Linked DNA regions of Drosophila melanogaster. The protein of the gene in region 2 interacts with the protein of the main gene of each other region in a pairwise test. Each region holds a gene or a part of one and is shown on either strand. Other genes may lie near its edges.

Region 1 (4,116 bases), on a different chromosome or scaffold from region 2:
AATAGTTCTAAAAATCAATGCTCGATATTCAGGCCCATTGCTCGGCTTGGCAAGCAAAATAGTTATCATTGGCACAATTTTCAAAGTACATTTCATTGGAATTGATATACACGCAATGGTTATGTATATTTGTGGCCAGATTTGGCTTCCATTTCAGAAATGGTACATCCCTTCCGGATAGTGTAGAAATCCAGGACGCTCCATCGTTGGCACGGCTGTTGATATCTACCCAGTACTTTTTTTTGGTTTCCTCTGAGAATATTTCATTCAGCTCCTTCTCATCGAGGATATTCGCCAGGTGACCGCCCATTTGACGACACGTGTCGTATGCGCTATCCCAGGGCATCTTCTTTTGCTTTTCTAAGTAAAAGTGCCGGGAGCCAATCTTCTTGAATACGGACATTTTGATTTTGTTGGACATTTTAACGTTTTCCATGTAGGGTTCAATTTGTTGCTTTAGAGCCCGAAGTTTAGTTTCCATCTGGTTTTGAAAGGACTGCAATCGCATTTCTAAGCGTTGCTCCATATTACCAATTCTCCACAAAGTTCCATTTTGTCTTAGCGAATTGTAGGTAAACCAGTGCTGCTGGTGCATATCAATATTCTCGATTGTATAATACGGCATTGGTGCTTTTGGCAATTCATTTGTTCCTGTGGAAGTATCCTGCTTTTTGGCACTGACGCCCCAAAAGTTCCATAAAGCGAAAATGGAGAAAATGCAAGTTGCGTACTTGTACATTTCGAGGGCTAATAGTCTGTGAGATCAATTATTTAATTCCTCCTCGGACTAACCCTTTTTTTTACACTTCCCAACGAGATAATCACCCGGAACATTAACCTTTTCAAGCATTAAATACTCTGTTAAAAATTCGATAAAGATCCGAGAAATCTAGAGATATATTCTAGACTTCATTCAAGCCCATCTTCCCAGTTAAATACCATTACAAATGAACCAAAAAAAGTTAATGAAAAACGTATAAACTGCAAGAGAAGTTTATTGCTTAAGTGGATGCTTCGGAACATGGAGGATACCACTGCCAAACGCTCCAATCGACGCAGCTTCCAGTTTTCGGATCGAATCCAGTGTTCTGCTCGCAGGCAACTAGCTCGGCCTGTCCGGTGCTAGAGCACTGCCAGTAGTGGGTTGGATCCCAGAAGTCACGGGAAATCTCTCCGGAGCGTCCCACGCAATCGGGCTCACCATTGCCATCGGGATTGCAGTCAAGGTCGGCGTAGATGGCAACGCAGAGGGTCAGGAAGAGAAGGACTAAAGCTGAAACAGAATTCCGCTATTGGCATCTCAATGGTTTCAGCGATGTGAGGTCATCAATGAAACTCACCTGCTTTCATTGTGGTTTGTTCGAGTGATTAATACCGAATGCGATTGGAACGCAACGTTCGACATTTTATAGCCACCTGCTATCTATTCCCTGACATATTGTCTGAGACAATCGGAGCTATACATTCTATTTCTTAAAGAACATGAAATCGTTTAAAAATAATCTCATGATCACGATTGGTATCTGTATCTCGACAATTCGAACATTTGACGCCGTCGTACAATTCGTTTTCAAACAAAGAAGTATATTTCACCAAGTGTTGTAGTATACTTAGTTATGATATTAAAATATTATTGAACAAAAAATTTGCATATGATTTGTTTGAATTGACCGGCTCCTATTTAGACAATTTATACCCTGTAAAACTTTACACACTGAGACACAGTGTTTTTGAAATAAACAAACAAATTTTGAAACCAAGCTCTAGTTAAAAAATAAAGTTGTTTGTAAAATTAAAGTATATTGTTTATACTTTATATGATAAAGTATAATTTACTTTTCTCTCGTTCATAAACATTTTATTGCATTAAATGCAAATTAGTAGCAATACGAGTACTGTCTAATCTTTATAGGTTTCCAAGATATCATTTGGACAAAAACATCTCAAAAATGTTATTTACAAATAATAATGAAACTCGTTAACACTCAACTGTACTCAACATCCTATAGAAAGCGACTGAGCAGAAACAAAATATTCTATATACCAATCTAGGTTGCTCTATAACATTTTCCCATATCTTCGAATACTCGCAAGAACATGAGATATTTTAAAAATCCAAACAATGTATGTAATCATTTAGTTTGCCATATATTTTCATTTTTGTTGTTATTAAAAATGCAATCAACAGTAAGCAGTCCAAGACCATTCGCTCCATGAAACGCACTCCTTCTTTGTGGGGTCGAATCCAGTGGACAACGGGCACAACACAGCCGTGGCCGTGGAGGTGGAGGACTCACACCACCAGTAGCGAGTGGGATCCCAGAAGTTGCGGATGTTCGTTTGCACGTTGGATGCGTCGCTGCAGTCGGGCTGGTTGTCAGAATTGGGATCGCACGCATTTCCGGTGCTTAGGAGCGCCACGAAGAAGGCAAGGCAGATCAAAAGTAGTGCTATGGGATCGGCAAAGGGTTGAAGTATATTTCAAATGGGGATTCCTTTTCGATTTGCTCAGCTAACTTACCGGACTTCATGGTGCAATTGAGTTCCCACTGGTTTCGTAAGTGTGCTTTAACTGGGCGAATTCGCAAGCTTATATACCCCAGACCGGCACTGATATTGGCTTTCATCAATAGCAGTTATCTCCGTTGGCGGGAAGCCTGTGCGAAATTCTATTTTGGCAGCGACATGAAATCGTTTCAAAATAATCGCACCTTGTATCGCCCACCGTATCTGTATCTGTATCTCAGCGCATTGTACGCGCCCCTAAGTTTTGTTGACGCAATAGTTTGATTATATGGATGTGTCGTAAAGGTCATGCCGCGTGCCACAATCCAAACTGGGTAGCACTCCTATCAATAAGTTAAATATAGTACAAAACTAGGACAGTAAGGTTTATAATCGAAATTTAAATTTGGGGGCTTCTATTCAAATACCTAATACTTAACCGTGGGGAACCCCACATTCTTAACGCAAACAAGTCATTAGAATTACGCATTTATATTTATATTAATATACTACCCTTAACTGTTGGTGATAGCACTACCGCACTACTAACCTGGTTTTTAATCAACCCATCCGCTATACCGTATACCATACATATCGAAATATAAAACTCCAAAATATAACATTAAATCGCAGTAGGTGTCACACAACTAATTATTTGCGATATTAATGATTACAAATTGCTCGTGATAAATCTCCCATAGCGATGGAGTCGAGGGTCACCAGCGGCACAGGTCCACCGAACACCATTATGATCCAGCTGGTGTCCCAACAGCCCAGTTCCTGTGGACAGATGCAGGCCATGCCCATTTCGGTGCAGACGATACCCTTGTTCCCCAATTCCAGAACATCGACAGAGCGACCTTGTCGATCGGTCTCCATTGCCCCGAATGTAAGACCTCCAACGGATGTCCCTCCTCCTCGAAGGAATTTAAGAATCCGACCCGAGGAATATGCGACACCCAAGCGGAAGAATTCGCAAAGCCAGTTTCGTCATTTCTCCCGCAGCATAAACCAACCTCCACCGGTGTACTATGTTCTTCGACCAGAAGACCGTATTATGCCCATCTACATACCACCTCCGAGGTTTAACAATGAGCAAGGATCAAGGATGGCGACGGAGTGTCCTTGCTGTGGCCATGCCAAGTCATTGAACCCGGAGGAACCTCTAAGAGTCCACGTAGCGCAGAAAGAGTTTGTCAAATTAGAGAAGGCAACTCCTGGACATCGGGATCAATGTACTAACACCATTGACCAGCCAGATGTGGGAAATATAAGGACGATTTACGAAACATTGGGACGCGCAATGGTCACTGCAGCCGTGGAGGCAGCCCAGAGATCCCAGCCAGCAGGACCCTCAGATCCGACAAATGTAATATTGAAACTATTAACCCAATTGGGGGAGCAGAATCAAACAACAGGCTTGAGTCCACATTCAGAAGCAGTAGCAGAAAGTCCCGACCACCAACCACATATGCGCAGGCCCAAAGCTAGCTTTACGGAAGCAGTCCGCATGATGGAGAGGACCTCGTCTGATCCTTCCATTGCTAAAGGGCCACCAGATGAGCTAGATGACCAACGTAGGCTTCCATCTGTACTCTCCGATGGTCGTCT
Region 2 (4,453 bases):
GCAGCAAACTTCCATGAATCTGGAAAAATTCAAAATTGTTGAAATTTAAAAAATCATTTGTTGTTCTGAGGACACCGACGTCTTCCTTTGGTTATCATCTAGCAACACCATGCATTTGATGTGCGAGCGATTGTCTGCGGTTTTTGCGGGCGTCCTAGTGGGTTTGTGGTACGGTAAGACCTTTTCCGAGGACGAAAAGCCCAAGGAGAAGGGCAAGGACAAGAAGAAGTAGACCGACCGATCACTCGCAAGACTGGCAGAAATCAATACGATCTTCTTAGGTGCGTATCTATTGTGCGAAAATGAGCCATAAGCCGCAAGATTATGTCTTTGATCTAGTAGTCGAGTCGGCAAACTTCGAGCCACTTCAACGTCCTGTCAACGCGGCAGCTCTGACATAGCTCAGTGTTTATTTGGCTTTACAATCAGTATATCAGACTTTCGACGTACACAAAATTTATAACGTGTTTGGTTTTAATTTAACATCCATCAGACAGCGATTCCAGTTTTGGTCTAAATTGTGGCAAATCCTGTCGAGCTTTTGCAGCCATGCCCTGTTGTAAGCGTACCGAGGTCCGCAGGGTGTGCCGGCCGATGCCGTCGCTCCTTGCCAGGCTCAACTGTACGCCGTGCAACCGCGTCCTGTTCTTCGTCATCGGGGTGGGACTGGGCGTGCTCTTCGTGCGCAACAAGGACGACAAGTCGGGCGGCAAAAAGAAGGACGAAGGCAAGGCCAAGAAGTAGGACTGACCGATCTGCCATGCCCGGCGGTAATATCAATCATCCAAGCCTGGCACTAGCTAATTGAACCTGGACTCATCATCACCCATGAAGTTACCCAACCGTTTGCAGCGTTAGCCAGGGAAGACAAAATGCCATTCGATAAGTTTGTCCGCCGATGAATGGAATGGAGAGGAAATTTCTCAGTCGATAAATTTATCTAAAGAGCAATTTGTCAATCGAACAATTAACTGCCACATTTAATACAGGTTTATTCGATTGATCTATTCTCTATTATATATTCCTCTGTTGAAAATGCTATAAAATTGGTGCTGTACAAGACTTACTGTGTTTTTAATATGGGCTCATTATTCAAATCTGTGGGAGCAATTGTTCGCTAAATGTTTGTAAATAGTACTTTAGTGACATGATTTGATTATTTCATTAATCGTCCTGTAACAAAATTTGCAGAGCACCTGATCGACTTCCTTATTGATCTTGATCAAGAAACGCGTTCTAATTCTTTTTCTTTTAAACGAAACTACGAGTAACGAGTTATGAAAATGAACATCGAATTTACCGATAACTAAGTGCCTATTACAATTAAAAATTGCAATCTTATGCTTTGTATAATAATTAAAGTCTGATTGACCAACCACAAATATTCTCAAATTTTTGTTGAATAACTTTAGATAAATTTACTAATTTTGGGTCCTTGCAGAGGGCAATACATTTGGTGTGTATTCATTGTACAATTTTTAATAGAATATCAACGTATTAGAAAGCCTTAGCGGTAAGAACATAGATCATGATCATATCTCAAAATCATCACGAACCCAAAATGTAAATTTCAATTTTCGGGTGATGTATAATTTTAAGCCTGATATGGTTATCCAAATTTCGCAAAGGCATTTCCTCTCTCCAGTTAAATATCCCATCCGATCTTGTTACTTGATCTGGAATTATAAGGGTGGACACTAGATAGTAAATAAAGAAGCCTTCCATCAACGCGGCAATGGACTGACCAATAGTTATCGTTAGGTATGCCATATAATGCACTTGAAAATTTTGAAGTTTAGAAACGATATGGATTCGATGAGAATTTTGGGGGAAAACATCCTGCTCCTTGACATGTCCGTTTGGGGGTCTATAGTCGTTACTTGCCCTCCTTGCCCTTCTCTTTGCCCTTGGCCTCCTTCTCCTTCTTTTCCTTCTCCTTCTTTTCCTTCTCCTTCTTCTCCCTCTCCTTCTTCTCCTTCTCCGCCTTCTCCTTTTCGGCCTTCTCTTTTTCCTTCTGCTTCTTCTCGCGCTCCTTGGCCTCCTTCTCCTTCTCCTTGGGCGATTTCGCGGCCTCCTCGGCCGCCTTCTGGGCCTCCTTCTTCATATGGTCCCAGAATAATCCGATGCCCGCCCCGATCATGAAGAACACAAAACGGTTGCACGGAACGCAGTTCAATTTCTGCCACAAGGTGGGCGGCGGGCGACAGGGAGGCGGTGGCGGAGGACAGCATCGCGGAGGCGGGGGGCAGGCGGGCTTGTCGCACATCTTCAAAGGATTATGGATTAGATGTCCGCGCAATCACAGGGTCCCTCTAATAACGTGTTAATTTTACGCCAAAAAAAAAATCAGAAAAATGATGTTAGCCGAATGGGAAATTTAGAACAGTGGGGCCTGTGTTGCCTTTGGATGTGAGTTAAGTATTTGACGTTTATTTCGTAAACTACTTGATAAAACCTAACACTCATTATGCCTAAGGTTTAAGATTACACCAGTACTTTCTTCGACCGCAATCCTTTCAAAATGGATCCTTCTTTAAGCATCCTATCTTCTTCTTTATAATGTCTAGGCTAAAGTCACAATCCTTTTTTCTAATACATCTGAAAAACAAAGCCAAAAACAAAACGTTATGTAAAATGCATTTTTCTAAAATTAAAATCAAACTCCTTAGTCTCTATTTCATTGATAGTATTGTCGCTTTAAAGTGCAAAATTCTAAATTAACAATTTTTTCAAAAAGACCTAACAAAAAGTACTGATACTTTAGGGCTGAAAATTATGGATAACTCGTGGTTCATCACTTTTATTGTAGGCTGTATTGTGGGGTATTTGATAGGCAAGCATAATTAGAAAAAGGTAAGAGCTCCTTTGCATTTGTGGTAGGCTTTTTCAAACCACTCAATTTTAGTTTATTTTAGGCTTTACAAGTTCCAAACCCACTACTTTCGTTTTATAAAATGGATGTAGATTGGGTAATTACATTTCTAGCTGGCTGTTTGGTGGGATACGTCGTGGCCAAGAATACCTGAGGATAGGCAAGAAATCTTTGGGTAAAGTTCGCCTGAAATCTTATGCCATCCTGAAATTCAAAATCCCGACTGGACTGGATTTTGATTGGGAAGATAACATTTGGTATCAAGCGCTTGAAATCATTTTCTTACTTTCGAAACCTAAGAAAAAATCAAAATGACGCACGTTATATCCTTCGCCTTGGGCGTGATTATCGGAATGATGAGCTGCCGAAAGTGCTAAGCCTAAGCTCCCAAAAAGAAAATTATAACTTAAATCAATTATGAGGAACATTGCATATATTAAAATGAACAATAAATAAAATTTAAACTTTCGTATTCATTATATTTTTGGAGAATTGCTTGAGAATGGAAGATTTGCAAGCAGTACAGCTAGTGATGTAGCATGCAGCAAGCTCAGTGCCATAGCAGGCAGAAAAGGGACTGGAAATTGGGATTGATTTTCTCAATGACCATTAAGTTAATCAATAAGGTAATCAATATTTTCGTAAGCATTGCTAAACATGAATACTTATTCATTACCGTATCAAATAAGTTGGCTTTTCTAGTAAAGTCAGCTCATAACGTATTCGTTTTGAACTATTTAGGTCGCTCGAACACCTAAAATTAAAGTTATCGGCGGAAATGGAATGGATTCTAATCTTTATTATTGGCTGCGTTGTGGGTTATCTTATATCGCAGAATACATAGGAGCCGCTTTAGAAAATTCTTTCAGCAAAATTATGAAGGTAAATTACAATAGAATCAAGTACGCTTGGTTTTTTCCATTATAATAATGTGCTTCAAATTAAAGTAATCAGTTTCCCATCGACAGTCAGAACGAAGTGTACGTTTTGTATGCTCTTAAATAAGACAAATTTTCCGTTAATATCTCGGGAATTCAAGTTTCATTAAAATATGCAGCGGTTTATAACATTCGTTGTTGGTGGCATCGTTGGTTTCCTCATCGCCAAGAATACCCGCGTAAGTCTCTGTAAATTCCATTCGTTATCTTGTGATATTCAAATTCCCTTCCTTAGTAAACACAATCATGTCCTATGTAATATGCTTTGGGATGGGCATGGTTTTTGGCATGTTCGTATGCCGCCGTTGTGAACCCTGAATAGGAGGAACCCACGGATAAATTAAGACCTTTTATCGAAAACCAGATGTCCCGAGAACTATATTTAAAATGAATTTGGAATAAAGAAATTTGTCACAATCATACTGTATTGTTGTTTACTAAGCCTAATTGCTGTTTCTTTTCTCTGTTCCAGGTAATTAACCCTTAGACAAAAAACATTTTATATTGATTCGTAAGTAAACCTTAGGAAATAAACTATGCGGGTTAGCTTGACTGTTCCCAATATAACAAATTTACGGATAAAATCCTTTTCACAGTTTTCAGTAGATAGTCGCTGGGGATTTAAGCCAAGTTGAACGCATTT
Region 3 (4,306 bases), on a different chromosome or scaffold from region 2:
TGATTGGCATTGAGTTGGGCGTAGGCAAATGGGCGATATGGAAACATGGCCAAAACCCTCTCGACCATCGCACTATAGGCTAAAAGGTACCATCCTTTTGTGGCCAAGAAGCCATTTTGCAAAAGTCCGTAATACTAAGTTTTGATTAATAAGTTTATAAGATTAGACTTTAGTGTTGCGTACCAGAAAAAAAAAATATTCCGCACGGTTAAGATATTAGCTGTTTAAAACAGCTGTTCGGAGTGCCGTGCGCACAATCGCTTGTTTAAAAACAACACAATCACTTTTAAATTAATAATGTTGTAAATTGCGCTTTTAGGTGTATTCGCTGAAACAATAACTAATGTTTAACTAGAGATTTAAACATGAACTGCACCCAACTTCACTATAATATATATACTGTGTTGTAGGTAATTGAATTCTTGTTCTTTTGAATGTAATCTTAATGTGCAACTTCAGGTTCTCTAATGCGGAAATGTTTAAGATTTGGTGCTCTGCTGCTAGTAAACGTACAAGAGAGAAGACAATACAATGAATCAATACAATGCAGTAAAAGTAACAAAACAGCGCAATTAACATATAAAAGATAAAACCAAACCTCTCAGACAATACTGGATATATATAAAATCTCAATAGCTCATTCAGTATTTGGTGATAATGAGGACAGATTAAAAAACATTGCAAAAACTTTTTTCACTCGGTCAAAAATTGATCCCGAATATTTGGTTTTACCTTAAAGATATTTTGGTAACAAAATTAAATATAAGGGGCGGTGCCACGCTCACAATTTTTGGTATCGTAAAAGATATGGCCTAGTGTAACCCAATGCAAAAAAAAAGAAATTGAATGTCTTTATCCGTTCTGGGTAAATCTATAATCTCATTGTCAGCATTAAAAATTACTAACACGCGCCGCATTATAATGCAATTCGCCTATGTTCGACGAGCACCTGACTGCCGTTGCCACTTTTACCTTTATCCTTCTTGTTGACTCCTTCGTTGGCAACATTTCTTCCCTTTTAACCGCCTCCAGGAACTGTTTACAATTGCGCACAAGTCGTCAATGGCTGTCCTCGTCCTTGGGCTCCCTCCAATGGCATCTGGATGTTCCAACACGAACTGCTTTCACTTTCCTAGATTTTTTCACAGATTGTGCATTCAACTAAACATCATTACGTTTTTCCAGTTGCCCCACGCAAATAAGCAACTTAAGCTGAAATTTTATGATTGCGGCTTCTTTAAGAACATTTAATTTGTCACAGAAAATTATTGGAAAAACATATTACGTTTTCTTCAATTCTAAACAATTTATGGAAATTTAAAATTTGCGTTATTTTAAAAAGAATTTTATATCGTTCGTCTAAAAATATGCTTCAAATAAAAATCCATTTTTTTAATAAACTGTTTATTTTTATAAATGACTGATCCCAAAAATATGAAATGAAAATAATGTAACATGTAGTGGAGTGGTTTTTTATGAAAACTTTCAATAAGGCTCAGTGCCTATTCATTTTCCCTAGCGGCTATCTCTTTTTCGATGTCATCTAGAACCTGGTCAATAGCATCTTCCTCGGGATCGATCAGTTCATCCTCATTTTCGTTGTCTTCCTCGGATTGGTCATGGCCATCTTCCAACTCTTTCTCTTTATCGAGCTGATCCTCTTCTAGGTCATCAAGCTGGTCCTCTGAAAGATCTGTTTCGTTGTCGTCTTCGTCCTCTTCAGTTTGATCCTCCTGGTGGTATTGATCTTCGCCAGATTCCTCGTCACTCTGGGAAATCTCATGAGAAAACTCTTGGGAAATCTCGTGGGATTCCTCTGCACTGGACTGTGGACCCTCGACAATCTGACCATTGATGGTGGGCATGATGCGATAGTAACCGTTGTTATAGTACGGATACCAATTGTTGTTCCATTGGTTACGTGGTGACGATGGGGTAGTATTTCCCTGGTTGCTGTTGGCAACGGAATTGGACACTCCCGTAATGATCACCGTGTTGTTTCCAAACTTAACCGTCGTATTCCTTTGACCAGCCTCTGCCAGGACGGCCTGCAGCCAACCCAAATTCATCTGGGGAGCTGCATTGCCATAGGCAAGGATACCGGCAAAGATCAGAAGAGCAAATGCTATGGATTGCATGATTATCAAAAGTATACAGGCTGAGTGCAACTGAGACTATGATTTTCAATTAGCTTATCTTTGTTTTTATATCTTTAAAAAGTTGTCCAAATCGATCGATTTATTGTGACATGATTACATTATGCTAACAATCGTCAAGGTTCCATCATGGCCTACGATATATTTAGTTAGAAGTAGTTATTGTTTTTGGCTTACCACAAATACGACACCGAACATGTGAGTAAATATTAAGAAGTTTCGAGTAAGCGGAGCAAAACAAGCTAATGTGCTATGAATCAGAAAATAAGAATATGGAGGGCCATTCCCAAAATTTGTAAACAATTGTAGGTGGAACAGTGGTTATTCTACAAAGAAATAAAAAGGAGTCATTAATTTGATATAGACATTTTCATAAGCAAGTTAACTATGGATTATAACATGCTGTGTTTGCTTTCCTTAGGTTATACAATATATTGTATATAAAAGTATGACGTTAGCCACGTTTCACTGTAATCTTTATACGTTCTCCAAGTTCCGTCAGTCAAATGTTTACGCACGACTTTGCCTCATTTTTTGACGCTCAAACCAAGGCAACAGCTGTCGCGGGGTAAACACAAAACGAACCAAATAAATTGTCACAATGCGCGCTTTTATTTTTCTGCCAATTTAGAGATTTTGCTATAAAAGCGTATTTTCAATGTGGAACTGAACTTAGTTGAAAACTAAATTTGACAATACAATGCGTGCCTATTTGCTGCTTGCCCTGTTTGGATGTGTGCTTTTGGCCACAGTTTCCGCAAATCCGGTGGACATTGACGACTTGGAGGACCTCGAGGAGGACAAACGAATTGCTGATGAGCAGGATAATGCTAACGATGATGAGAAAGACGATGAGGATTCAAATGAACCCGAGTCCGACGACGACTTAGATGAGCCTGAATCCCCGGAGGACGATTCCCAGAACAATGATGATTCCGAAAGCGACGAGAGCATCCAGTACAATCAAGATGAAGAGTAGCTCTAATGGGAATTAACCCTTTCTATTCTTTATTGTCTTTATCTACACGCTTTCACCGGTCGTTAGACGTTTAAACAACTGTTTACACAGAAATACACAGTTCATCTTCAACAACCAAATAAGTAAAGGTTTTTATGTTATTCTAGTAAATACACACATTTCTGGAAACACCCATCATAATTGGTGCTTTTTACTTAACTTCTTTTTATACAGCTCTTAAATGATTTTGTAAAGAATTACATACTAAACAAAATCTTAAAAATGCAATTTTTATTTAATTAATTGGCCTCAAAGCCACTCTTAATACTCTTATTTCAGCGCAGGGAAAAAGAAATAATTTTCTGCCTGTAATGTGTGGCTCAATAGATCAATAAATGTTTTATCTCTCAAATATTTACTTAACATTAGTAAGGTGCAGCCATTGTGCAGTTTGCAATAGAAATTTTAAAGCAAACACGGCATTCATATATAAGAAGTGCAGTACTTTGAAAAAACTTATTCAAAGAAGAACTAAGTCTACGAAATAGAGATGCACTTTCTGATGGTACTCGTGATAATTGCTCTTTTGGCCATGGCCTTTGTGAGTGCAAGCCCACTTCCCCATCCAAGTGGAGAAGTTATCGTTATTGTCAACCCAAAAGCCCCAGTTGACTGGTGCTCTACAACATCAGCGGCTTAAATTCGAAAATACAAAAATATTTAGAAATTCTCCCCCGATGCAATTTCTCAAACACAAAATATGAAATGAGCAACTGATAAATCACCAATAAAGAAAATAAAAATAAAACTTATTCAGGGTAAAACTTTTAAATACGTTTTTTGGTCTTTATAAGTTAAATGAAATCAATAAACGTTTTGAAGTTCGATTTGGAGATATCAGATTTTTTATTTTGCTTTATATTAGCACATATTACCACGACGGAAATGAAAATCCTTTAGGCGAAGTAAATAGTAATGAAGGTAAGAAAATTTGTATCTAATGTTTTAAAAAGGCCAAAAACCATTCACTATCTTTTTAATTCAATGATTGCATGCGAGTGTGTAATAAATATGACAAAATAAAAACAGAGGTCGCTATAGTCAAGTGCCACGACTATTAGATACCTGTTAATCAGAATAGAGGCAAGCACAACGAACCCACTTACTCAAAACAATTCTGGACAATTCCCAG

What was found. Proteins that work in one complex are often made in the same cells at the same time.
Region 1: the proteins of CG46298 (region 2) and Peritrophin-15b interact in a two-hybrid assay, tested with the Drosophila melanogaster proteins (one large-scale study listed by BioGRID).
Region 3: the proteins of CG46298 (region 2) and CG18649 interact in a two-hybrid assay, tested with the Drosophila melanogaster proteins (one large-scale study listed by BioGRID).

What each region holds. Positions count from the first base shown.
Region 1 is NT_033779.5:8,393,532-8,397,647, forward strand, and holds Peritrophin-15b (Peritrophin-15b), read right to left. Parts: upstream 1,410-4,116; 5' UTR 1,351-1,409; coding exon 1,341-1,350; exon of another isoform or gene 1,274-1,340; coding exon 1,002-1,273; 3' UTR 915-1,001; downstream 1-914. Other genes in the region: lectin-29Ca, read right to left, coding at 29-739; Peritrophin-15a, read right to left, coding at 2,182-2,450, 2,522-2,531; CG13385 (uncharacterized protein), read left to right, coding at 3,209-4,116.
Region 2 is NT_033778.4:10,351,329-10,355,781, reverse strand, and holds CG46298 (uncharacterized protein), read right to left. Parts: upstream 2,415-4,453; 5' UTR 2,267-2,414; coding exon 1,877-2,266; 3' UTR 1,746-1,876; exon of another isoform or gene 1,677-1,745; 3' UTR 1,393-1,676; downstream 1-1,392. Other genes in the region: CG43397 (uncharacterized protein), read left to right, coding at 110-232; CG12902 (uncharacterized protein), read left to right, coding at 550-744; CG43201 (uncharacterized protein), read left to right, coding at 2,776-2,847; CG43171 (uncharacterized protein), read left to right, coding at 2,955-3,026; CG43178 (uncharacterized protein), read left to right, coding at 3,184-3,249; CG43200 (uncharacterized protein), read left to right, coding at 3,651-3,716; CG43172 (uncharacterized protein), read left to right, coding at 3,924-3,989, 4,046-4,048; CG46305 (uncharacterized protein), read left to right, coding at 4,057-4,128.
Region 3 is NT_037436.4:15,052,654-15,056,959, reverse strand, and holds CG18649 (uncharacterized protein), read left to right. Parts: upstream 1-2,824; 5' UTR 2,825-2,856; coding exon 2,857-3,135; 3' UTR 3,136-3,392; downstream 3,393-4,306. Other genes in the region: EAChm (enhancer of acetyltransferase chameau), read right to left, coding at 1,503-2,138; CG43680 (uncharacterized protein), read left to right, coding at 3,665-3,814.